Drosophila melanogaster: one gene and its partners. The protein of the gene in region 3 interacts with the protein of the main gene of each other region in a pairwise test. Each region holds a gene or a part of one and is shown on either strand. Other genes may lie near its edges.

Region 1 (7,527 bases), on a different chromosome or scaffold from region 3:
AAGCATTGGAATTTCTCTTGCCCTCACGGATTATGGGAAGCCATCGCAAGACTTTTGTCAGCCATGTCTTCGACAACCATCCGGATCGGTTGAAGGTGGTGCGCAGCCTGTTGAACGTTTTCGTAAGCATTGAGATGACTGGACAGTCAGTGCAATTCGAACAAAAATTCAACTATCGCCGGCCCATGTACGCTATAATGGAGTTCCTGTGGACCAAACCCGAGCACGTTCAGTGCTTTCGTGACCTGGCAGTCGAAGCGGAGCAGAATATGGATGCCATTGAGCCGCCCATATTTCTGCGCTTCATTAATCTGCTTATCAATGATGCCATCTTTCTGTTGGACGAGTCGTTGTCCAATCTGGAGCAGATCAAACAGCTTCAGCAGGCGCAGGACAATGGTGAGTGGGAAAGCCTACCGCACACTGAGCGTGAGCAGCACATGACGAACCTCCAGCACCTGGGCATGCTAGCTCGATTTGACAACATTATCGGTAGGGACACCATAAATCTCCTCAAGCTGCTCACCTCGAAAATCAAAAGCATTTTCTGCCACAACAGCATGGTCGATCGCATGGCAGCCATGCTGAATTATTTTCTGCTGAATTTGGTTGGCCCAAAGAAGGAGCGCTTCAAGGTAAAGGACAAGAAGGAGTTCGAATTCGATCCGGCTCAGACGGTGATCGAGATCTCTCACATCTACATCAACCTAAGCTCCGATGAGAGCTTCTGTTTGGCCGTATCGCAGGATGGACGTTCATACAGCGAACAGCTCTTCAGCTATGCCGAGAACATCCTGATCCGAATCGGAGGCGGCCAACTTATAGGCGACATGTCCGAGTTTGCTGTGAAGGTAGCGCGTATGGGTGCTCAATACAAGGAGGAGCAGGAGCTGCTGGCTGATGCGCCGGAAGAGTACCTCGATCCGATTATCTCAACGCTTATGACCGACCCTGTGGTGCTGCCCAGCTCCAAGGTAACAGTGGATCGTTCCACCATCGCCCGTCATCTTCTGAGCGATCAGACCGATCCCTTTAACCGCGAACCGCTCACCATGGATAAGGTCAAGTCCAACGAGGCTCTGAAGCAGGAAATTGAGAGCTGGATTCAGGGCAAGCGGGAGGCGGCCCGCTCGAACAGTTGAGGTAGCAGCGAACCCGCAGCTGCTGGCTCAGTTGCCCAACCAAAGAGTTAGCTCCACGGGGATTCGGTTGTTAGGGCAATAATCAATGTTTTTTTGTTCATAAGAATTCCAGTCATACATGGTGGTATGTGTATGTGCAGTTTTATAATTAGTGGTTTTTAAAATGTATTCTTAATCCATTTTTTCCTGTCAACCGAATTAATTAACAAACAATGTGTACGAATAACATGCAAAGGATAAATTATTGTAGTCATATTTGGTTTTGTGTTCACAATATGTTTACATATATGTTTAAATAAACGGCGTTTCGCTGAAAAAATGTGTATATTCAATTAATTCATCAAATGAAAATATCTATAATGCAAATCGACAGCATATGTTTTATTAAATCCAATCTCTAATTGTCTTTTTTCGCTCCATTGGTTTCTACGGCAGATCCATTGTCCATGTCGTGACTTACTGATTCACGGAATCGATTGAAGTAGCGACGACCAGTTAGGTACCACAGCGCCTCGTGATAGCTTCTGGGAAGGATCTCCGGAACTGCTTTGCTGCAGGAGTAGGTCAGGTGCAGCACATTGCACTTAAGCTCCGTAAAGCTATTGCCATCGATTGCATTCACCACCGTCAGCAGCTGAATGTAGTTTTCGTGGGTGAAAACCACGTACGCCTTCAGTTTTATATAGCTATGGACGGGAATGGAATGGGCGAACGTAACGTCCGCAATGAAGCGGATCATGCAACGCTGGTTGGAGTAGAGGGAGGCTGTCATGTAGCTAATCTCGATAGCCTTGCGGATGATGAACCCTCCGAAAATGGTGTTCGATTCGTTTCGGTTCTCCGGGAACGGATGCATCAGGGTTCTGCGGCGCCACGTGGACATCCAGCGGGAATTCGGTGGTAGAGTAGTCATATCACTCGGCGAAGGTCCGTCATCGCCCTTGGTTCGGGTAAATAGCTCGTACATGAGCTGCTGTTCCTCCTTGGTGGGCTGCTGCGACTCCAGGCGATACAACGCTTTGGCACGCTCCTGGTGCCGCTTCTGCGCTTCCTGGTGTAAACTTTCTTCCAGCTCATTGGCCGGCACCAGAGGATTGACAGGAGCAGGGCCATTATTGATGGCATCGCGAGCCTCTACCACAAAAATGCCCTTTGCCAGCAACATTCCGCTTTGTCGCACATATGCCGTGACCTCCATGAAGTTATTGTCCGTATATGAAACGTGACCGGAGAGGGACACATCTGCATCCGCAATAAACTTGTCTTGCAAGAAGTGGGCGTGGTCCACCAGCATGGTGATAAAAGTGTATGGCAGCGGCACACCCTCCGGCAGATTGGGCAGATGGATGTGAAGATGGCAGATCCACACTGCAAGGCCACTCTCATTAATCAGGTATTTGGAGTAGTTAGTTAGTATACTTTACTTACTTACCTGCAAGAAGGTCAAGTTCCTCAATTATCCTGCCCATGCGAAGCAAGCCTCGCCCGTAAACGAATCGTTGCCTCAACAGAGCATCTGTTTCCAGGAGCACCTGGGCAGTCGTTTGTGAGTCCAGCATGGAGCGATTGGGCAGTTCGTCTTGCTTCGGCTGAAACTTGAGCAGTCCATCCCGGCTCTTGGGAATGATGTGGTAGCCTCCTTCCACGCCGACGTGCTCACGGATTTTCTTCGCCACTGTGCTTGGTATTGGGAGTTGGATAAGTGGACGATAATGTGGAGGTTTACCCGCGGTTACCATCTGCCATCGTGCCCGAGCGGTGCCCCGAATCCAGCAGCTCCCTCCCGGATTCCATGAACGAGTGACGAATTGCACCCAGTTGGTGCCACGGGTGTCGCACGGCGATCACCCTTCTGCCAAAGTGCTGGCTCAAATTCATTTAAATTTTGGGTTTGTGTGCTCCGCTATATTCATATGTATAGTTGTCAAATAATAAGATACAGTACGTTAAAATCGTTTGCACTTAATTTTTTAAATTTGTAACAGAATAACGGCTTTTATGTAATCGAAATCTTAAGAATCACAAGTACTAGTTTCCAAAGTTATCACGTTCCAGGCTTAGCTACTTTCTGTTGTCAAAAGTAAATGTCGTAGCGCATTATTAATAAATTCGCTGTTTTGTTTAGGAATCAAAGAATTAACTATTTGAAAGCTGTATAAGTCGCAGATCAGTGTTTGTCAACACTGGTCAATCCATCCTCCATCTTCCACCATTCGCTTTCGGTATTTTTTCCTATTCCTGTCCTGCTTACTCATCGTAGCAGCGCCGAATAACGGATCCTAAGATCGAACGAACCTGTGCTAAACGTGATTTCGTTCAATTTCTCATACATTTCAATATATTTGACCCGATCAAAAGTACTCGTTTTAAGTTTTAACCAAAAAAAAAACCAACAATTAGTGAGTATGGACCCTATGAAAGAGGAGGCGATCGAATTGAATGGCCATGCTATGCAAATGGCCGAAGCTGAGCAAGAAAATGGCGCTGGCGCCCTGAAAATTGCCACCAATGCGGGTGCAACCGATCGTCCAGCGCATCAGCAGCTTCCGCTGCCAGTCGAAGATCAGCAGGATGAGGTGCTGACCCCCGCTGAGAAGGGCAAGTTCGAGTACCCGCCCCCTCCACCGCCACCAACTCCAGTCCAGGCTCCGCTAGCCACCAAGGCCACCGCTCTGAATGCCAGTCAAGAGCATGACGACGACGAGGCCAACTCCGAGAAGTGGGAGGATCCGTGCGCTCCGCCCCCGCCTCCTCCGCTGCCGACTAGCGCTTTCCTGGCCACCGGACTGGGCTACCTCAAGCTGCCCGCCTTCAAGCTGAAGGACGCACTGGAGAAGGCCATCACCAAGTTGGAGGCCAACAAGCGGACGCTAAAGGCCAGCCCTGAGGTGAGTTCATTACATATAACATTTTTAATTTTATTATTAGCAGTGCACACTGTTGTCAGATTATATATTTATATTGAAATACATTTTAAATTTAACTTTTCTTGAGTCAAACTTGATATTAGTCTAAAATCTTCGCAATATTTATTGGCCAACAAAGCACAGTATTAAACACGTAAATGGTATTAGGAATCAGAGCAGCTCTGATACAAATGTCGTTAAAAATTTAGTTAAAGAAACTTTGACTTGGCATTCATATATTCGACACTTATTTTACATCGAGTACAGACAGGCACTCTCATATATCATGAAGTTTTTTCAATGTTGTTTTTATTTTGGCAAACAGTCTTCTCGTTCCATCAAAAACAAGAATGTGGTGGCCCTGGAGATGTTACCCAGGCGCTCAAACCCAGAAACGATCGGCGATGGATCCATGTTGGCATCCACATCCACGGCTGTTATGCTGCAGACCAAAAAGCCCGCCGTTATTGTGGAGATGGAGAGGCGTTGTAAGATCATCAATTTACTGGCCAAACAGAATCAAATCCTCGAATCCATTTCGGGGGAGGCCATTCCGATGCATGGACCCTCGAAGCATCTGCACGAGGACGAGGGTCTGACCCTGCAAGTTCTCTCGGCCCGAGCATCCACACCGTACACACAGCCCTCCAGCATGTTGTCCTGCACGGCCGTTAGTTGTGACCTGGAGCACGATTCGCCGCGGAAGCAAGTGGCCAGCAAGGAGGCCGTGCCGGAGCAGCAGTCTAGTCAGGTGCAGCAAAAGCGTCCACCCAGCACAGGCATTCACAAGCCAGGAAGTCTGCGAGCACCCAAGGCTGTTCGTCCTACTACTGCTCCGGTGGTCAGCAGCAAGCCGGTCAAGAGCTATACCCGCTCCCGCCTGATGGACATTCGCAACGGGATGTTCAATGCCCTGATGCACAGGTCCAAGGAGAGCTTTGTGATGCCTCGCATCGCCACCTGCGACGACATTGAGTTGGAGGGAAGGCTTCGCCGCATGAATATTTGGCGCACCTCGGACGGCACAAGATTCCGGACCCGCTCCACCACAGCTAACTTAAACATGAACAACAACAACAACAATGAGTGCATGCCTGCCTTCTTCAAAAACAAAAATAAGCCGAACCTAATCAGTGACGAGTCCATCATCCAGAGCCAACCGCCCCAGCCGCAAACGGAGTTCCAAGTAAGCTAGTTAAACTTATACTATTCTACTCAATTTTGCCATATATTCTATATAAAATAGACTTGGTTAGCTTAATGGAAAACTTATGATTTGAAAAGGAAAAAGTGATTGTGACAGTGCGGTAATTGTTACAGTTACACATGGCGTCGATTCATTTGAGTACCTCGACCATCTGATACCCCTTCCTTTGTAGGCCAAATTGTCTTTTTGGTCTGCTCAGAAAAGCTCTTTTATGAAAAATCATATTTCCCGCCTTTTCTGCTTAGAAAAAATCGCTTAATCGATTAAGAACATTTTCCCCACTTTTGCATTAGGTAACACAAAGTCGCATTATTCCTGAGCTTATCTGATAAATCAATGATTGCATTGCATGACCTCCAGAGGTCTTTGGCAATCATGCTGATCATTGGCTGGACCCTCGCCACAGTCAAATCACTAATCTAGAACATTTTACAACTGATTGCGAATAAGTATGAAGTAATTACTACAGTCGTATTAGACTATTTCCTTTTATTGAATTCTAAACCATCTGGGATTCTACAAATACCCTCGAGCGAAATCACTTCTCTAGATAATGACACTTTCCATCGACCTCCCGCAACCTTTGGGCTGCCTGTTCGGGAGTCAGATCCCGCTGGGCCATGGCCAGCAGCTCAAATCCCACCATGAACTTGCGCACGGAGGCAGAACGAAGCAGCGGCGGATAGTAGATGGCGTGCAGGGTCCAATGAGCACTGGATGCGTGGGCATGCTCCGGCCCAGTCGGTGCTCCATGCCAACCCATCGAGTAGGGGAATGAACACTGGAACAGATTGTCATACTTGGTGGTCAGCTCCTTTATGGTCAGCGCCAAGTTGTATCGCTGTTCTGCGGTAAGATCATTGATCCGCTTATTGTTGTTGCGTGAGATGAGCATGGTTTCGAAGGGCCAAGTGGCCCAGAAGGGCACCACCACCAACCAGTCGCGATTCTCAATGACAATCCGCTCCTGGCGCTGCAGCTCACGCTCCACATAGTCGGCCAGCATGGGCCGCTCGTTGGTGGCGTAGTAGGCACGCAGACGCTCCTGCTTCAGTTGCGGTTCCGTCGGCAGAAACGAGCATGACCAGATCTGGCAGTGCGGATGGGGATTGGAACACCCCATGGCGGCTCCCTTGTTCTCGAATATCTGCACCCACGCGTACTTGGCGCTAAGCTCGTTGAACTGGCTGATCCACCTAGATAGGCAGTTAGATAAAAAGTGGGTTTATTATTTTGAGTATCTTCTGATATAAACCATAAATCCTCCACTTACTCGTCGATAACAACGACGATTTCCGCTGCACTCATCGTGGGCAAAGTCAGATTCGATTTGGGATGGAAGCACATCACTCGGCAGTTGCCACGGGCGGGAGCTATCTGGAACAGTGGATCATCGTTGTTGGGCGGAACGGGCACCACCTCCACCAGGGCCGGGAAGTCGTTCTCAAACACATAGGTGCTCTCATATTCCGGAGTTTGCTGATCATTTACAAAATATACACGTGAGAATGCTTAAAACATTTGCGAGGATTTAGTTTGGTCGCTTACGATTCCATTGGGTCTGGTGACGCCAGGGCACAGAGGATTGGTGGGATCGAATTCGGGCAGCTCGTTCTTCTGCGCCTTCTCCTGCTGACCCGACCAAGGGCGTTGGGTGCGATGTGGGCACACTAGGACCCATTGGCCGTTCAACGGATTTAGACGTCGGTGCGGGTGCTCTGCAATGACATTCGATTTTAATTAAGATTGAGCAGCGATAAACCAGACCATTGATTTGGAACTAATTGTTGATCAACATATGACCATTCGCCATAGAAACTGAATCAAATTGGCATGGTGGAACTTCTTTTAAACCTACCACTGGCCACAAACTGCATCGTGTCGAAAGACTGGCGCTCCGTATCACTCCGATCGGATTATGACTACTTCAGATTCACGGGACAAGCCCAATGTCAACCTGCCGCGTTGCGATTACAGCTCCTAATGCTGCTGATATTGGTGTTCCGATTGTGATTCTGCTTTTGCTTCTGAATCCGATTCCAGTTGAGCTGTTTTTCGCTTAGCAAAGCGCGCTTCTTCAGCTACATTCCTCTCTTTTCTCTCTTCGGATTATTCCGCTCACTCTGCCGGCGAGCGTTTAGTTTGAGTTTGGCACGCATTCCGCCTTTCAGTGGAAGAATTTTCCATCAGCCTTATCTCTCCCACTCAGCTGGGCGTTCTGATATGGGTGTGTAAACAGTGTGAGCGCGATTGTGTGTGCCGCTAGTGATGC
Region 2 (7,789 bases), on a different chromosome or scaffold from region 3:
GACAAAACTCTATGGATTGTGCACAAATCTGGGTTTATTGGACCGAATCCCCATTAAAATATTTTGAATGATTCATTTTTCAAATTTTTCGAGTAATTATGTGCTTGAATGAACACTTGTGTTCCTCGTTGGATCATCCAATATTTAAAATGATGCTTTGATGGAATGCAAAATCTATATGGATTATATATTTTTTATTGTGGTATATCAAATTTGAAATTTTAAAAATCTTCATTCAAGATCAAGAAGACTTTCATTGTTCTATTCAATATTTCGCATCACTTTTCATTCCTTCCGCTGGGAACTATGATTTAAAAACAGTTTTATTATTTCTTTGCCTTCCGAAGCATCTTTATTACAATTTTATACTGAATGCTAAAACAGTTTTGAACGTCTAAGTAGAATTTAAAAGATTTTTAAACATGTATGTACACTGAAAAACTTCTTCTGATCATCTTCTTTATCTTCAGATTTTTTTATAAAGAACTCGATTCTTTGAATATCAGCATTTATTGTATTAGTAAATCTCAATTTGCTATAGTGATAGGACCAATATTGATTTTTTATATATAGCTTCGTCTTATCAGCACAATATCAAAAAAAATTTTCACTGTGATCTTCGCATATGTTTGTATCTTGGTTTTGTTTGCCCTTTCTCACTGCGGAGGGGCCACTGTGTTCGTTTGTTTGTTATTTGTGTATTTGCTTAGTTTGTTTTCGCTAACGTTTTGCGTAATTCGTTTCCTCTGCCGCGCCGCTGCCGCCGCCAAAGGTGCTGGCCAACGAGAGATTGGAGGAGGCTGTGGACAACTTGGCCACCAGGGACTTGACCATGTTTCGCCCGGCCGAAGTCTCAGTGGGTACTGCTCCTGCTCATTGGGAAAACGCTGGCTGGAAAAACTCTGGAATTCTGGAACTCTGGTCACCGAAGTGTCAACAGAATCAGTGTAGCATTCCGGGCCTCTCTGTTGTGTGTGTGTGTGTTGACATTTCCATTGGGACGCGGACGATGACGAGAGGGTGTTGGTGCTGGAGGGGGCACACAATGGGGGACAAACAATACATAAATTCCACAACGATTTTTCGCGACGCTATAGATTTAATTAAATTCTAGCGGAGAACGATGCGCGATCATGGAATGAATAAAAGCGAATGAGAGCGTGGAAACGATTCGAATGCTCTCACGGTGACTCTCTTTTTCGACTGGACTGGATTGTCGCAGTTTGTTCAATTGAAATAATAAACAAAAACACACACACACACTCTTTGAGGCACTCGTGTGTACACATAGATTTCACTCTATTATTTAGTGATTTTTGTGGCGCAAAATACAGTACAGAAAACGAGCAGCTCTCTCGGCCATTGTTGATCTTTTTTGGGAAAACTGCAACACCTGCGACGCCGGCGCAGCAGCTGCTATTCGATTGGCGGATGCTGTCTGAGACGCTTATCGATAAGCCGGGTCTAGCATTGAATCGAGGGATCGATCAATAGGATATATCGGAATTTGAAAAGCTAGCTTCGGCCAGAAATAAACCTAAAACGTTTAGTTTTACTTAATGGTGAGGAATTTACTTTGTCCCTGCTCATAAGTATGATTAGCTTTTTAAGTAAACAAAGGAGAACGCTATGGTCGAATTACGCAGATAATAGAAGTGCGAGGGAGATGCAGGAAGGAAAGTAGAAAAGTTGACTGACAAAATATTTACCACCTAGAAAAGGTCTATCATGTCTCTACAACATGGCGTATGAGTGTAATTTGATATGCAGTGCTGTTAAAAGGGCAAAGTATCTTTAAAGAGAAACAATTTAGGACAGTTTTTCTTTTACTGATTTCAGAAATATTACTTTAGAACTTCGAAGTAGGGATGCCTGTGTTCAAAATACATAATATACCCTAATTCAATTGACAATACCAAATAAATTCGTTGTTGACATAAAACACTGCAATTTAAATCAATGTGAATGGCTTGCGTTTTTAGTTGATAATTTCATCATTCCTCACTAGCAAAAATTTCAAGAAAAAAAATTTCTTCCCACAAGAAGAATTACTTTAAAAAGACTTTATAGATGAAAAAATTCCGTTTTAAGGTGTTATTTGTATTACTTACATTTACAAGGACTCGTTTTCTTGCGCAGCGTCTGCATTTTGCTCAGAAAAAGCTGATTGGCATTCGTGTAGTAATTCCTTTGGCCGCGTATAATGTTGCGAATAATGATTGAGCCTTAAAGAGCTTTATTTATTTATGATTTATTGGACTTCCTTCGTTGTTTTATTGCTAATTGCCTTTTGTGATTTGTTTACACTTGTTTCGCTCTTTGCGTCTTCCGTCTCTTTCGCACTCCCCAACTTCCTGACAGTCAGCGTTTTGTTGTTGTTGTTATTGTGCCAGTCGGTCGATAGAACACACCGGCATTTGTCTCACTCACACTCGCACGCGCTCACACGGACACGGCACGGATTATCGATTTTCCAACGGGGGCCTCTGTGTGCGTGTTTACTTCCACTTTGCCTACTTTAAGGCGTTGTGGGGGGTGGGAAAGGGATGTAGCTACGCCTTTCATTATGCAGCGGTAAGCTATCTAACTTCAATTAACTGTTATTCGTTGTTTTTGATCCTTTCCCGTCTTAATATTGCACAACACGCGCAGCTTTCTTTGTCTGGCAGCCAGGAAAAAAAGTGAAGCACAAAGAAGTGGGTGACACACTCGTGATTTTGGCTGAGCGAAAAAACCAATTCGACTCTTTTGGCAAATATTTACAAGCTGATTTTTACGTTCTTCCTGCTTTGCATGTTATTGGCCATTAATTTAACCCAATTTGAATGGGTTTGTAGTTTAATTTGGGTCCTACGCCCTGGGAGCAGCAGGATATGCACACACACCGAAAATTCGATAGTAAAACTCCAAGGATTCGAGGGTGGTGGGTCAAGTGCCGCGGGCACCCTGTACGCCAGCCGGTACATAGGCTATCGGTCTATCGACGACAACCGATAGGTAATTGCTCGTACTTGCGGTACACACAATTACATATGTTTATACAAAGGTTTGACATAAATTGAAACTATAATAGTAAATTTCTCTGTTAAGCTTTGATAGAAAAAAAAAATGTAAAGATTTTATACCAAGGGTACCTTAAAGTTCGATTAGCTATCAAGATATTATGTCGTTAAAACTCGTATAACCGTTGAAGATCCTTTTTTAAATGATGATTTAAATTTTCTTGGTATTTTCTACAATCGAATAGATGGTCACACTGCAAAGCAATTTCTCCACAAAACAGTGGCGCCATTACGGCCGAAAAGAGAACTCAAAAACATAGCAAGACATCGAAAAATATTGCACCACAACCTTGCAACGGTCACTTTGCTCGCAGTCTGCTGCGGTCACTCTATTCGAACGGAACGGAATATTTATCGCGGATTGTCGCGTTATTTCGTTTGTGTCGCGCCTCCATCAAACTCACCTTAAAAATTAACACTCAAATCGTAGATTACGAGCTCTGTGCGGTGTTATCAAAAATAACGGAATTAATTCATTACGGACGCCTACGCCAGTCGTTCTTCCTCTTTTTCCACTGCGCGCGTCGCTTATTTTTACCTGCAGCGCAGTCGCGACAGCTGAAAATTAATAAAACGAAGAGAAAAGTGTAAATTGGATCACAATTGGTAACAAAAAGTCTATGCGATCGATCGCCAGTTGTTTTATACATCAACAACAACAAAGCAAACCAGTTATTAGATGTTTTTGTGAATAGTGTAAATCAAATTCTCGGCTCATACCTACACACACACCAAATACATTCCCGTAGTTCCTATTCAGATCCGATCGGTTCTTCGACTCGCAGATCACAGAAAATATGCAAAATTAAGCCAAGAGGAGCGTAAATTCGTGCGCAAATCGTGGGCGCAAAAGTGTCGTCAAAACGGGGAAAATAATCAAAGTTAACAGTAATATCCTGTTGTGTAAATAAAAGGCTTATACATACACACACAGTCGCAGAAGCAACAAACAAAGGAGGAAAAAGCGGCAAGATGAATAAAACCTGTGCCCGTTGCCAAAAGGTGGTTTACCCCATCGAGGAGCTTAAGTGTCTGGACAAAGTGAGTTACATTCCCTATGCATATGTAGACTATTTATCCTATTCAAATTCTATAATGTTCGCGGTGGCTCCTTTTTCCGTTTTAAGCCGCTCTTTTGTGCACTTGTTGCGGGCGCAAGAACGAGACGGCTAGCTAGCACATGGCCGTGGGTTCTGCTCTCCCGCTCCCTCTCCATGATTTTATCCCTTCCCCCATTGATCATGCGTGCCTTTTTGTATTTTTGTTGCTCTGCTTCTTCGGTGTTTATTATCCTATGCTTAATAACCGCAAAAGTTGTTTGGCTGCTTTGCCATTCGCTTCGCGGAATTCAAATATTTACTCGAAAATAACGGCGCAGCCTCGCGCGCGTCCCTGTGTGGGTGTAATGGCACTATTGCACTGAGAAAAATCACAAGATCGCTCTTTTAATACGATTTTCATTTCCACTGGAAAAAGAAGATGAAAAAAATCTTTATTTATTTTTATATTTTATATTTTGATAAAATATATATAATTTTCTACAAATTATAAAATCTATTTTTCTATTATACCATTTGATTCTAAGTGATATAATCTTTTCGTATCCCACGATCGATGCAATTGATCAGTTCAGCATTTTTGCTCAGTGTAGTAATGCGCGGGTGGCGACAACCAACAGAAATTACTGCTCACATTTTCGCCAACTCAGGAAATTTCTACAATTGCTTTTAATTTACGTTTGCCGCCGCCGCTTCCGCTGGCAGAATTTTCGGGCTCCCTCTCTAATTATATCGTGGCCTCTCTTTCCCGCAGCGGCGCTTGTTGCATTTCAATTCTTGCGATCTTGTGTCTTTTTCGCACGGCTTTTTTGGTTGCAGCCGCTTTTGTTGTTGTTGTAGTTCTTGTTATCTTTCGAAAAGCAACAAAAGCAAATCCGTTGACCGACCTTGAGCGCATATTTTCGAGACTTGAGACCAGTTTTTTTTTACTGCGTTCTCCACACACACGTACACACACACTTACGCTTAAAATCTGACACAGTGGTATTCGCGAAATTAGCAGCAGCTGGCGAAATGAAAATATAATTTTTTTATTTTATTTTTTATGTTTGAAAGTGCTGATTATCTTAATTCTATTTCCGCTTAAAAGTGTTTTGATAAAATACATATATATTTAAATATTTATTTTTTTCACCTAACTAATTATTTGATTTACTCAAATTTCTTGATAAATTTTTGAATTCTCTAGAATATTTTTAAATGAAAATACTTCGTTTACCGGAAATAAACACCGTTTTTGCATTCTTGGAAATCGTTGAGCTTAACGGTTTGTACCGTTAAGAGTTTAAATTGCAATGAATAGTATTCAAATAAAAATGGGAAAGATTCGTTTTTCTTAAGAAAGAAGTAGGATACAACATAGATTTTATAAGTTGGAAATTTGTTTTGTAGCTGAGCAATTAGACTGAATACTGTTGCTTTTACGAGGAGAAGACTATAATTAGTTGGCGCTTTTCAAACTGTAGATTTGCATAATGTTTGTACTATATTGACAATTAGTTTTCCAACTAAACGACTAAACACAGCTGTAGTTGCACGCAAAGTGGGGCTTTCGTTTCTCATGTTCAATGTGCCCATGGGCTTATTGGTTTACGCCTAATCCAGTTTATTTTAAGCGAACTTATATTTGCCTCTAAGTCTGGGGGCTTTTCACCAATTGCAGTTCCATTTTATTTTCGCCCTTGGCTGGGCTGTCTATCAGTCTGTGTTTACGTTTCGAGGGCCTGTGTTATTGTTGTTCCCACGAAATTTGGAAGCTGATAACGCAGCTATCGAGCCGAGCCACAAACATTTACATTACGAATCGCTTGGATCGGCTCGGCTTCCCCTTTGAATCGAATTGAATCCATCAACGAATTCCGATTGCCAATCAGTTTCGAGTATATCAGCAGCGTTGAAACGTGTCAATCTTGCCCCGTATAGAACTAATACCCCTTCAGCGCCAAGAAGCACATCCTAATTATAGTCTCGTCTTTCTAGAGTTTCTTCTTCTTCATCTTCTTCTCCCCTTCCGAGTCAGCAATTTCGATTCTAATTATAGACAATGGAGTAATGAAGACTATTTTAAAGTCACAAGACAGACGCACTGAAGTCGGTTATAAAACATTTATGTATGTGCGTCTGTGTGTGTTTTTCGCCTAATGGAAATGCTGAAACTTGTAAACACAACGTTTGATGGGTATGAAGTGAGGGAGTTGTGTGTGTGTGTGTGGGGGGGGGGGGGGGCGAAGTTTGAGGAGCATAAGTTTACCTTTACATTAAATTGCATTAGTTCACTTGTGTAGTTTCGTGTTCAACTTGCGCCTGCCTTCTGTTGCCGGGTGTGTCTGCCATTGCGAAACAATTTAAATGCATGCATTTCACAACAGGCTTTAAAGTTGAGCAATAGATCGCCAGCCATATGAGGTCAGAGGCTTGACAAAATAAATGATTGCTATGCGGAGGGGATCAATCATATTTTTATTTTGCCAGCCGCTCAGCGCATTACTAATTGGGGATATTTTTTTTTTGAATTTTTCTCTAGTGATTGTAGGAAGGGGATGCAGTAGTTTTTTAAAAACAGGAATTTGTGGAATTTATGTATATTTTTATATTTATAACGCAACCGTAATCTAGTGATTTTAGCTATTTAATCTAGGTATTTATTACGAGATTTGTTGCTTAACATTTCTGTTAAACCAATACCCACTGTACTTGCAATTTATAGCAATACAAACCCCCTGACTAATAAAAGCCTATGAGATCAGAAGCCAAGCTCGAACTATTGTTTTCCGACTTTCAAGTCCAGTTTGCTTACGCAATGCTCGTGTGATTGTTTTCCATCATTAAAAACGAACAAAGCATTAATTCATTGAATGGGGAGATACTATAAATTTTGCACTTTTCCCTGAATCGCCGTTACTTAAACAGCAATATAGAATTATAGGGACTGTTCAGAGCGAGATTTTCCTTGGCTGCTATCTGCACGTGACACATCCTGATATCCTGATATAGAAATCGATACTCGTGACAGCAATAAACGGCTATTTTATACCAATTATCTCTTATTTCCTTCCACCTCGCATAGATACACATACATTCGTACATAGATATGAGCGCATAGAGAGATTGGCACGCGAATTCGTTTGAAGAAATGCCTTTTTAAATGTGCCGTTAAAGTTTTGCGGCTTTATGCGGCGCATTGCTGCCGGCGCTTTGTTAATCGATTTTTGATACGAGCAAAAAAAATTAAAAACCAAGCGATTCGGAATGGAGAAGTCAACTCGACTGCTAGCCCATAAAGTTGGGCCTCCTGTAGCCGTGCCTATATCCTCTGTGCCTGTCGCTTCTGTTGCCAATTTCATTTATCTCTCAGCTTTATATTCTTCTTCCTGTCTTATATTGCATTTGATAAAGGAAGGGTATACTGGAATACAGATAAATGATGTGGGATTTCTTAGAATATCATTAGATATGATTGCAGAAACATATTATAACCTATATAACTCCTTAAAAGCCATAACGATGTTTTTGGGTGAATTGTTTATTAACTGAACCTTAATATTTATGTACTCTTAGTATATTATAATTTTATAATTAATTTTTAATTTAGCTTAAAAGACTGAAGACTGAAGATGGTATGGTTAGAAGATACCTGACATTTATTTCAAGCTTTTTTTCATTATAATG
Region 3 (8,555 bases):
TCAGCACCAGGTTATCGGTCTTCAGCTTGGTGGCGATATCGTTGGCCTCCTTGCCGTTCTTGGCAACAGCGAAACTGCAAAAAAATGAATCACTCAGTACGCGAAATAATTTTGGGGGTGCGCTCTTTACGATGTTCCTGATTGATTGTTGATAGGAACATTTCACGTAAATCGTGTTATCAGTAGACCACAAAGGTTGAAAGTTGAGACAAGGTTATTCGGTCATTCGAGAGATGACAAGCCCTCATTTAGAAAATAAATCAGTCGCCTGATTTTACCTGAATAATAGCAAAAGCAACTACTATCTTTTGATTCTAATAATCTCAATTTATCAAACGAAATGGAAATCAAAATATTCTAGCTTTGCAATTGCTTAAATTTAAATTACAGGTATTTTAAACATTAAAATATATTTTCTTTACCCAAAGTTTATGTATATTTAGTTAGTTTAATTATGATAGACGTCAACTAATGCCGCTTCCATCTTATCAAAGCCCACGTCACTGACCCTTGTCACTTTACGCCGATCAAAGTGTGTTATAGTATAAAACTTGTTATCACCCTTATCATCGGCGGCTGCGTTTCTCTGGTTTGTTTACCCCGTAGTCGGCTATACTCAATGCATATTATTAAGTTCAGGCAAAGTCCAAAACGCACATAAGCCAAAGGAAACAGACGACGCAACGACAACGCGGCACTTTCATTGAACTTTGGACTGCGACTTTGACGCAAATTGTTGGTTGTTTGCCCGCGATTTTGATAATTCCGATTGGGTTTACTCACCGAGGTGTTGGGATCTTGGCCTCATTGAGCAGACTGTAGGAAACGTGTTCCTGGACATTGAGGTTCCTCAGCTGCTGGACGGCGATGGGAGCCAGGCCAAGAATCTGAAAAGGTTGGAATTTTTGCCATGTTAATTTGCGAAAATTAGATGCTAATTAAAGATAACAAGAAAAATAATTAAAAATATATTTAAAAGGATGAAAATAAAAACGATTTCGAAACTTATTGTACTTATAAATGAAATCTTAATTCCAGTCACGAGGTCATTGTCAAGCAAAAATTAAACATAAAAAAACTGGTTCGGTGATTCATGTGAAAAAAACATAAACAAAAAGCGGCGAAAAGAAACGAAATCTGGGTTAAGAGCAAGTTCGTCCGGCTAACGGCGTTTCCCGGTGATAACCGAAACTAATTCACAGATTAAGAATTTAATTAGAGGGCCCGGCGACAACAGCAACAACAACCACAAACGATAAGCAACAGTTGTCAGCTGCTCATTGATAAAAAACAAACTAAATTAAGTGGGGGAATAAATGGGGCTTTCAAGGTCCCCACACACACACATGCGTACGAAAAGCGCACAGTTGCGTCACACTGACACAATAAAAAAGTCAGGTGTCTTTGGTGATCGTGACTCTCTTTAAATCTCACACTCTCCCCGTTTCTCTGGAGAAACAATTAGTTAACAAATGGCAAAGAACTTAAATTATCGCTTAAGTTTTTTTTTTGTACCGATAAACGATCAGCATTTCACATGTGTGAGTAAGTGAGAGACAGAGAAGGGGACAGCGTAGGTGTTCACTCTCTCTTTTCGCCTTATTATGTAAAGCGACGGATTTTCGCATTTTTTACACACAAATATGACTACTAATTGGCGAACTCACCTTTTTTATGGCCGCTGGCCTAACGGTTTCGATCAGGGGGCCGCCAGTTCGTGCCAAGAATGAAGCCATTTTGTTCTGAAATCGAATGAGAACGTACGTTTAACGATTTGAAAGCGAATTTTGACGTTACTGCTTACATTTCAAGATTTTTTTGCCGTCGCCTGCTGATGGAGGTGGTAGAGCTTCGATAGCAGGGACTTTTTTATGCTTTTACAATCGAAAATGCCGAAAAACTATCGTGAACTTAATGCAAGGTTGGAAACTGTAATATATTAGCAAAGATTCAAGCCAATTTGGCGGGAACTTTTAATATTGCATGCCATCTAAATTATTTTTCAACTACCGTTATTTTTATGATAATAATAAATTCGCAAATATAATAATATATTCACAAATGTCACAATATAATCTAGACCACTTTTAAATCGAAATTAGTTCGATTAGTTCCCAGTTACTTTGAACATAGCTTAGAGCAAACAAAATCATTGATTTCCCTTTTATTTTATTTTTTCATTTTTTTTTTGGATTTTACATTGCAGCTTGTTATAGGACAAAAAAAACGTGATCACCATCAATACATACAATTAACATACATTCAAGACAATAAATAAGTTTATAAATAGTAGATAGCTATCTAGAAGACTTTAAAGTAGAGCTGTAAATTACGCCAGAATTCTACACTGTGCTACAAACAAGCGCTTAGTGCGCACTTCCGGTTGGCGTGTCTGCAGCAGAGTGTAAGCATTTTATAAACTTTTTTGCAAACGGAAACAGAAAGACGAAAATCGCGCAAATGCTTCACTTGAATTTGCTTGAGCACATCAATAATAAATCAGCCGCGGCGTTGATTTTGTGCAAGCGAATTTTCCAAGTAAAGCAGTGCATTTTCATTACGGCCAAAATGCAGCATGGCTCATATGTATACGTACCACGCCCACTGCGCCCTTCTTTTTAAGGGCAAGTGGCAGGTTGTGTGATACAGGAGCATGCCGAATTTTGACCCACACAAAAGTATATAGAACAAAAAACAGTTTATAAGCATTGCAATGATTTGCATTTAAGTTCCATTTTGCAGTTTAATCTGATTTGGTAAAAACAGATTTCAAAGCAAAATGGTTTTGGGAAAAGCGGAAAAGTTTGAAGAGAAGTTTTCAGCTGCTTGCGCTTATTTTGCATTTGATTATTTTACACAGCTTTTGGGATAGCAGCAAAAAGTGTGCAGAAAATCAATGGCATTGGCAAAACAAATCACAGACAGCGAAAAATTGAGAAGTTTAAATCTAACATAGAACACAAAACACACAATAATATACAATAATGGACTAGGACAAGTGCACGAACATATAAATAAACAAAGACAGAGAACATACTACATATAAAACATATTAAAACTAAGCGAATTCCGTAAAAGCAGCGATCCATCAGCGTAAATCGTAAAATCATCAAAAAGTTCTTATTTTGTCGGTTCCGGTGCCAGCCCAGTCAAAATTTGCATATATGTATCTTGATTAAGAACCCAACTTAATACTCCAGACTCGTTTCAATAACTTGCAGTACGCGCTGCCGACCGATTTTGTTCCAGAACAGATAGGGTTCCTTGGAACCGGTGACTTGGCGTGGTGAGCTGAAAAGTGGCACAAATCGTAAACTCATATGATATGGTATATGGTATAAAGTCTTACGCCTGAAAGCAATCAAATCGCACCACGCCCCTTTCGTTGATTAGACAGGAGTGTATGTCGATGACCTTTAGGTGACAGCATTCGCTTCGGATAAACTTGTTGAATCGGTAGATTTTGTCACATAATACCTTATCGTGACAATAGTTGCCCAGCGGTGCAAGATTTGTTAGAATCGGCACCAATCGCATATTGTGCATCTCCTTGATCAGTAGCCGAAAATCGTGCTCGATCTGAACCAAAGGCTTGCCGCGCATAATGTCCACCGATCCGATATTGACGATGATCTGAGTACCCTCGGGTAATTGGACTCTTTTTAAACGATTTCGGGCGCCATTGATCGTCAGTCCGGATACACAAAGTCCTGACTGCAGGACGCGTTCGTGACGCCTAAATCGGCATTTTAGCTCCATTCGGGCGAGATATAGCATAAAATCATCGCCCATAAGCGGAAAGTCCAGCAGATAGGCATCGTAATCCGAGTTAATCGTCAGCAGAGAATCGTTGTAGGTTCCACTGGTTAAAATCGTTGGCGTGGGCGTCATTTCGTGGCGTCTCTTCATTATGTTCATGCCGTTAAATGGATGCACAAAGATGCCCAAATGGCGGTTTTCAGTCGGTTCGGTTTTCTGGCTTTGGGTTCTGCAGCTTGGCTGATGCCCAGGTGGAGCCAAATTGATTGGTTCCTCTGGGGCATCGGGGCTGTAGATGTTGATGGGTACTGGCATTTTTGGCGCATTTACGCTGGCTTGCTGGTAGAAATTGTTGCTAGGAGTTCAGTAGAAAGATTAGTACATTTTGTTAAGTAAAGGTTTATTTTTGCTATAGTTGCACTGTCTACAAAACACCTTTTCAGTACTCACAGATGCTTCCAATTATCCTGGTAGCACCAGTTCGACTCCGCTGCCTCATTGGCCATTTGATGCAGCGAAACCGGCCTGGTGGCGATATCCTTGGTCTTTTCATCCGTTATCTTGGGCACGGTCCTCGGGCTGGTGTTCAGCTGGGACAGAGCCCTCCGTTTGAAGGGATTCTTCCAGTAGCGTGGAGGTGCTCGTGGTATGTTCTCCAGGGACGGAGCTCCGCTGCTGTAGTCGCTGGTGCGCTCTTTCTGGTTGAGCACCATATCCAGGAGGTGACCGTTCTTCAGGCTCGCTTTCAGGTTGAAGATCCGCTTACCGGACTCGCTGCACTCAGCGGTCACATTGGGAATGGTCAGCAGGAAATCCGTCACGTTGTCGTGCAGTGGAAATGGATTGCCCGTCAGTTTTCGATATTCACCTGGCGAATTTCAATTATAGAATTATTTAAGGGTAATCTTACAAAAAAGAAACATAGAAAAAATATAAATTAAAATAAATATACTAAACTATAAAAGTTATATAATCCAAATAAAATTTAATAACCTACTAAAAATTTATACATTTTAGATTTCTAACTAAATATAGCCACTTAGAGAAAGTTCTGAAGTGTTTGATGAAGTCGAAACTTCTGGAAAGAAGAAAGCTTTCAAACATAAAGCTACTCACTCTTGATGCTCGATATCGTGATTCCATTCTGGGCGTGGCTCAGCAATATGGCGCGCACCTCACTATCTATATCGGGATATTCCTCGCGCACGGATATATAGTTGCTCTCGATGATGGTCATGTTGTTCTCGCTGGTGTTGCTGTTGCTGTTGTAGGTGATTTCCTTGGTGGAAATCTGAGTGGACGAGAAGAGTCTGGCTACGACTTGCAACTGCTGGCTGCTCTGCCGGCTGGTGAGTTCATGGGCCACCAATGGCACCTTCCACAACTCCGGCAATTCGGTTTTTCGCGCCGATTTGAAGATCTTCCGAAAGCGTTCGCCGCATGCGGAGAAATCGGACCTTACGAAGATCTGGTTGAGGCAGCTGGAGGAACTCTTGCGAAAGGAACCGGATGACTGGAGTTTATCGCGCAACTGCTGGAAACACGTGGTCACCCGCTTTTTCACGGACTTAAGATAATAGGTTTTGGCGGAAGTATTGGTGCTGGTATAACTGATCGGTTTGCTGGGGAATTCACTTGTGACTGCGGCCATCGCTTGGAGGAAAGTGATCCAATATTCTTGGATCCCTCGCCAACGCGGTCCACTTCTCCATTCATCTGCATTTTGGAGACTTACGGTGCTTTTCGTACTGGAAGGCGAAAGAGCAGGCGCAACAGAAGTAACGGTGAGCAGTTTGCAGAGATAATGTTTCCAGATCAACAGAATTTGTGAAAATACATTAGGGTGGTACAACCAAAAAATTTTGAAAAAATAAAAAACTGTTTTCAGAACCTAATATAGAACCTATATATATATATATATATTCATTTTCTTTAATTTTTTTATCAATTTGTTCCCATTCGCCCACCATTAGGTTAACATTCAAAGCAGTCTACGTAGCCAGTAAAAACAATTAAACGAAATTACCACCTGCATTGCCATTTGACGACCATTACACAAAGCAGTTTGCACTCCGTTCCAGCTGGACATTCGTTTTAATGGCCTTTCTCTTGGTCCAGATTAGAAAACAGCACGCCAGTGGGTCTGCAGAGCTGCTTGATAAGCAATTACGAAGTAGCATATACATAAATTCCAGAATAACTCAAATGGTGCCGACGAGCGTTACCACGTGCGGTGGTGCTCTGGTGGTCTGTCGGCTAATCGGCAAATGGAGCTGCTTGGCAGCAATTCCCCAGGAGATGATTATCCATCCATACAGCAAGTGCACCTGAAACTCCGAGAAGGGTAATGGAGGCACTTGCTCTGAGGGTTAGTCCAGCGATTGATGGATGACTCAGGGGCTTTCTTACATCTCGTGATGATTCCGGCACCCCGGAAGAAGCACAGACAATCGGAAGGAGGATTATGGCTTCTTAGCTTAAGCAAGTTGGATACAGTCAAACATCAGTAATGCGTACCAGCAAGAAATTACAAAAATTAAATCAGTAAAAATTTTACTTAACTAGCAGATCAGAATAATAAAAAAATAATTTTCAATAAGGTGTTGATGGGTTCAAAGGGTAATATATATAGAATGGGCAATAGTTAGTGCCACTACAACCTATCTGTAATTTAGGGAAGTACTTCCTTATAGATGTTGGACTGTATATTTTCCCTAGCCTTGCCTTAATTGCAGAGGATGCTGCAGAGACGTGACGAGCAATACAATACTATATGTATGTAGAAAAACTGGGCGAGAACATGTGGTCCAATTTATAAATCTCGACCCTTCTCCCATTTTTATTTGCTGAATGTGTAAGCCCAATAATTTAGAGTGGGATGAATCAGCCGGCTTTTCTTGCCATTCAATTTTCCCTTTTCGGGTGGTGTTTCAAATATTTTGAATGCACTCGCACAGCACAGGGCAATTGTCCGGTAATAATAGTAATTTGCATTCCAGGCCCTCTCTCATTCTCTCTACTCCCAGCTAAGAATTACAGTGGTCACTCGATTGTAAGGTAAGGAATTATACATATATTTATGGTATTTGGCAACCTTCCTTGTATTTCTATAAGCGTAATTGTAGGAAGTAACCACTGAAAAATAAATTTGTTTAATATTTTTAAAGACATTTTCCTACTCTCTTCCTTTCTAACAACTACTACCATGATTGACGACCATTTTTGATTGACAACTTTTGCATTTGCGTGTGGTGGGTGTGCATTGGAAATCGCAAAAAGCAATTTACCGCCTAGATTTGTGAACGACACTTTTCATTGGGTTCGACTGCATTTCTGCATAAATTATGGAAGCCGACGGAGCAACTTGTTGTTATTCTGTCTGCTGTCTTAGAATTTTTACCAGCAGCGAATTCATTTCGCAGAGGGCGGCTAAATGTTGGGGGATAGGCAAATTATTGTAATCAATTTATGCGAACAATTTAGCTATTGCCTCACTTTGGTGGGGCGGAGAGACACCTGTTAATCTGCTGACAGGCGGAAAATCTCAGGAATGCTGATTGCGTTGCACACGATTAACCAGAAGTTCACCCCAATGGCAACTGAATCTGATCGCCTTTCGGCGGCAGCTCCATCACTAATTTCCAGTAATTATCCTTATCCGTTTCCAGAGTCTGGCTTAACATCTGTTATTATTACTCCGCAGCAAATCGATTGATTGCCCTGCAAAAGGGCCTTAATCAGGGCGCCGCAATTCAAACACACGTAATTAGAGCCCTGCTGTAATTCTATGGATGTGGAACACACTGAAGAAAAAAACGGAAAAATAAAACGGAAAATAAATAAAATATACGGAAAGATCGTTCTAGTCAATCAATCCATTTCGATTTGTAATAGTTTGGAATGATTGGAATATGAAGTTAACTTAATTCGAGATTAAGTTCTTGGTCTACAATCAATTTTTGGACAGTGCATGGCTAACTCCTTTATGATGACCGGTTACAGGTTGGCCAACAGATTGTAAAATGGCAAAACACTCGAGATAAACGGCTAAGCATCTGGCTGAGTGTGTGGCCGGTTGGCAATTAATCAAGGCTAGGTGTCGCAGACCGTAAGACTGCTTCCGATTCCGGTTTTTGAACCCCAAGAAAGTCCTCATTATGCCCACACGATATGGTAATTTCGAAGCTGTCTTGACGGAAGGCTGCCAGTCACTTTGGATATTTATTTTCAAAAATAATGAATGCCTGCGTGCACCTTAAGTGTTTATTTTTTAAAGTTTTAAAAATGTATCTTACATTTTTTTAGAATAATACTTCATTACAATTTAAATCACATTTATTTGATTTACTGTTTATTTAAGGGTTTTAATATTTTAGCAAAGGTCAAAGGCAATGTCAATACAAACACAATTTACAAATACAAACAACGATCAGCTTGGAAACGCTTCTGTCAACGAGACGTTGCTTGCCCTGTAGAAAAGACTTTATTTAAAAAAAAGATTTAATGTTGAAGGTGTAAAATTTTAAATTCCTATTCAATAACGGATGTGCGACTTAAGTTATCGATAACTTATTGATGAACCATTTTGTTGTTACTCGCTAGTAATGGCGATTCGTTAGCAGTTAAGAGCTTAAAGGCTAGAACGAAATCCAAATAGACAGACGAAGTGAATTTATTAATGGCCCATCCAAGGACGACAAAAAAATATTCAACAACAGATATAAAAAATAAAAACAAAACACATCACCAAACCTTAACCAAACATAGGTCAGTTTCACGCAGTTCATCAATTTTTA

The links.
Region 1: the proteins of osk (region 3) and cup interact in a two-hybrid assay, tested with the Drosophila melanogaster proteins (one study listed by BioGRID).
Region 2: the proteins of osk (region 3) and Lasp interact in a two-hybrid assay, tested with the Drosophila melanogaster proteins (2 studies listed by BioGRID).

Annotation. Positions count from the first base shown.
Region 1 is NT_033779.5:6,660,558-6,668,084, forward strand, and holds the start of cup (cup), read left to right. Parts: upstream 1-3,106; 5' UTR 3,107-3,592; coding exon 3,593-4,030; intron 4,031-4,373; coding exon 4,374-5,234; intron 5,235-5,706; exon of another isoform or gene 5,707-5,793; coding exon of another isoform or gene 5,794-6,451; intron 6,452-6,528; coding exon of another isoform or gene 6,529-6,734; intron 6,735-6,803; coding exon of another isoform or gene 6,804-6,973; intron 6,974-7,113; coding exon of another isoform or gene 7,114-7,132; exon of another isoform or gene 7,133-7,476; intron 7,477-7,527. Other genes in the region: Ube4A (ubiquitination factor E4A), read left to right, coding at 1-1,142; CG13771 (uncharacterized protein), read right to left, coding at 1,540-2,510, 2,575-2,817, 2,879-3,020; Galt (Galactose-1-phosphate uridylyltransferase), read right to left, coding at 5,794-6,451, 6,529-6,734, 6,804-6,973, 7,114-7,132. UniProt on the Drosophila melanogaster protein: Adapter protein that plays a central role in localization of transcripts in the oocyte and in young embryos. Maintains RNA targets in a repressed state by promoting their deadenylation and protects deadenylated mRNAs from further degradation.
Region 2 is NT_037436.4:16,707,257-16,715,045, reverse strand, and holds the start of Lasp (lasp), read left to right. Parts: upstream 1-3,368; 5' UTR 3,369-4,034; coding exon 4,035-4,103; intron 4,104-7,789. Other genes in the region: Dab (disabled), read right to left, coding at 726-834.
Region 3 is NT_033777.3:8,932,001-8,940,555, reverse strand, and holds osk (oskar), read right to left. Parts: upstream 5,431-8,555; 5' UTR 5,411-5,430; coding exon 4,876-5,410; intron 4,841-4,875; exon of another isoform or gene 4,757-4,840; intron 4,628-4,756; coding exon 4,210-4,627; intron 4,115-4,209; coding exon 3,350-4,114; intron 3,292-3,349; coding exon 3,189-3,291; 3' UTR 2,161-3,188; downstream 1-2,160. Other genes in the region: ScsbetaA (Succinyl-coenzyme A synthetase beta subunit, ADP-forming), read right to left, coding at 1-74, 784-887, 1,668-1,736. UniProt on the Drosophila melanogaster protein: Organizes the germ plasm and directs localization of the posterior determinant nanos. Oskar protein is required to keep nanos (nos) RNA and staufen protein at the posterior pole.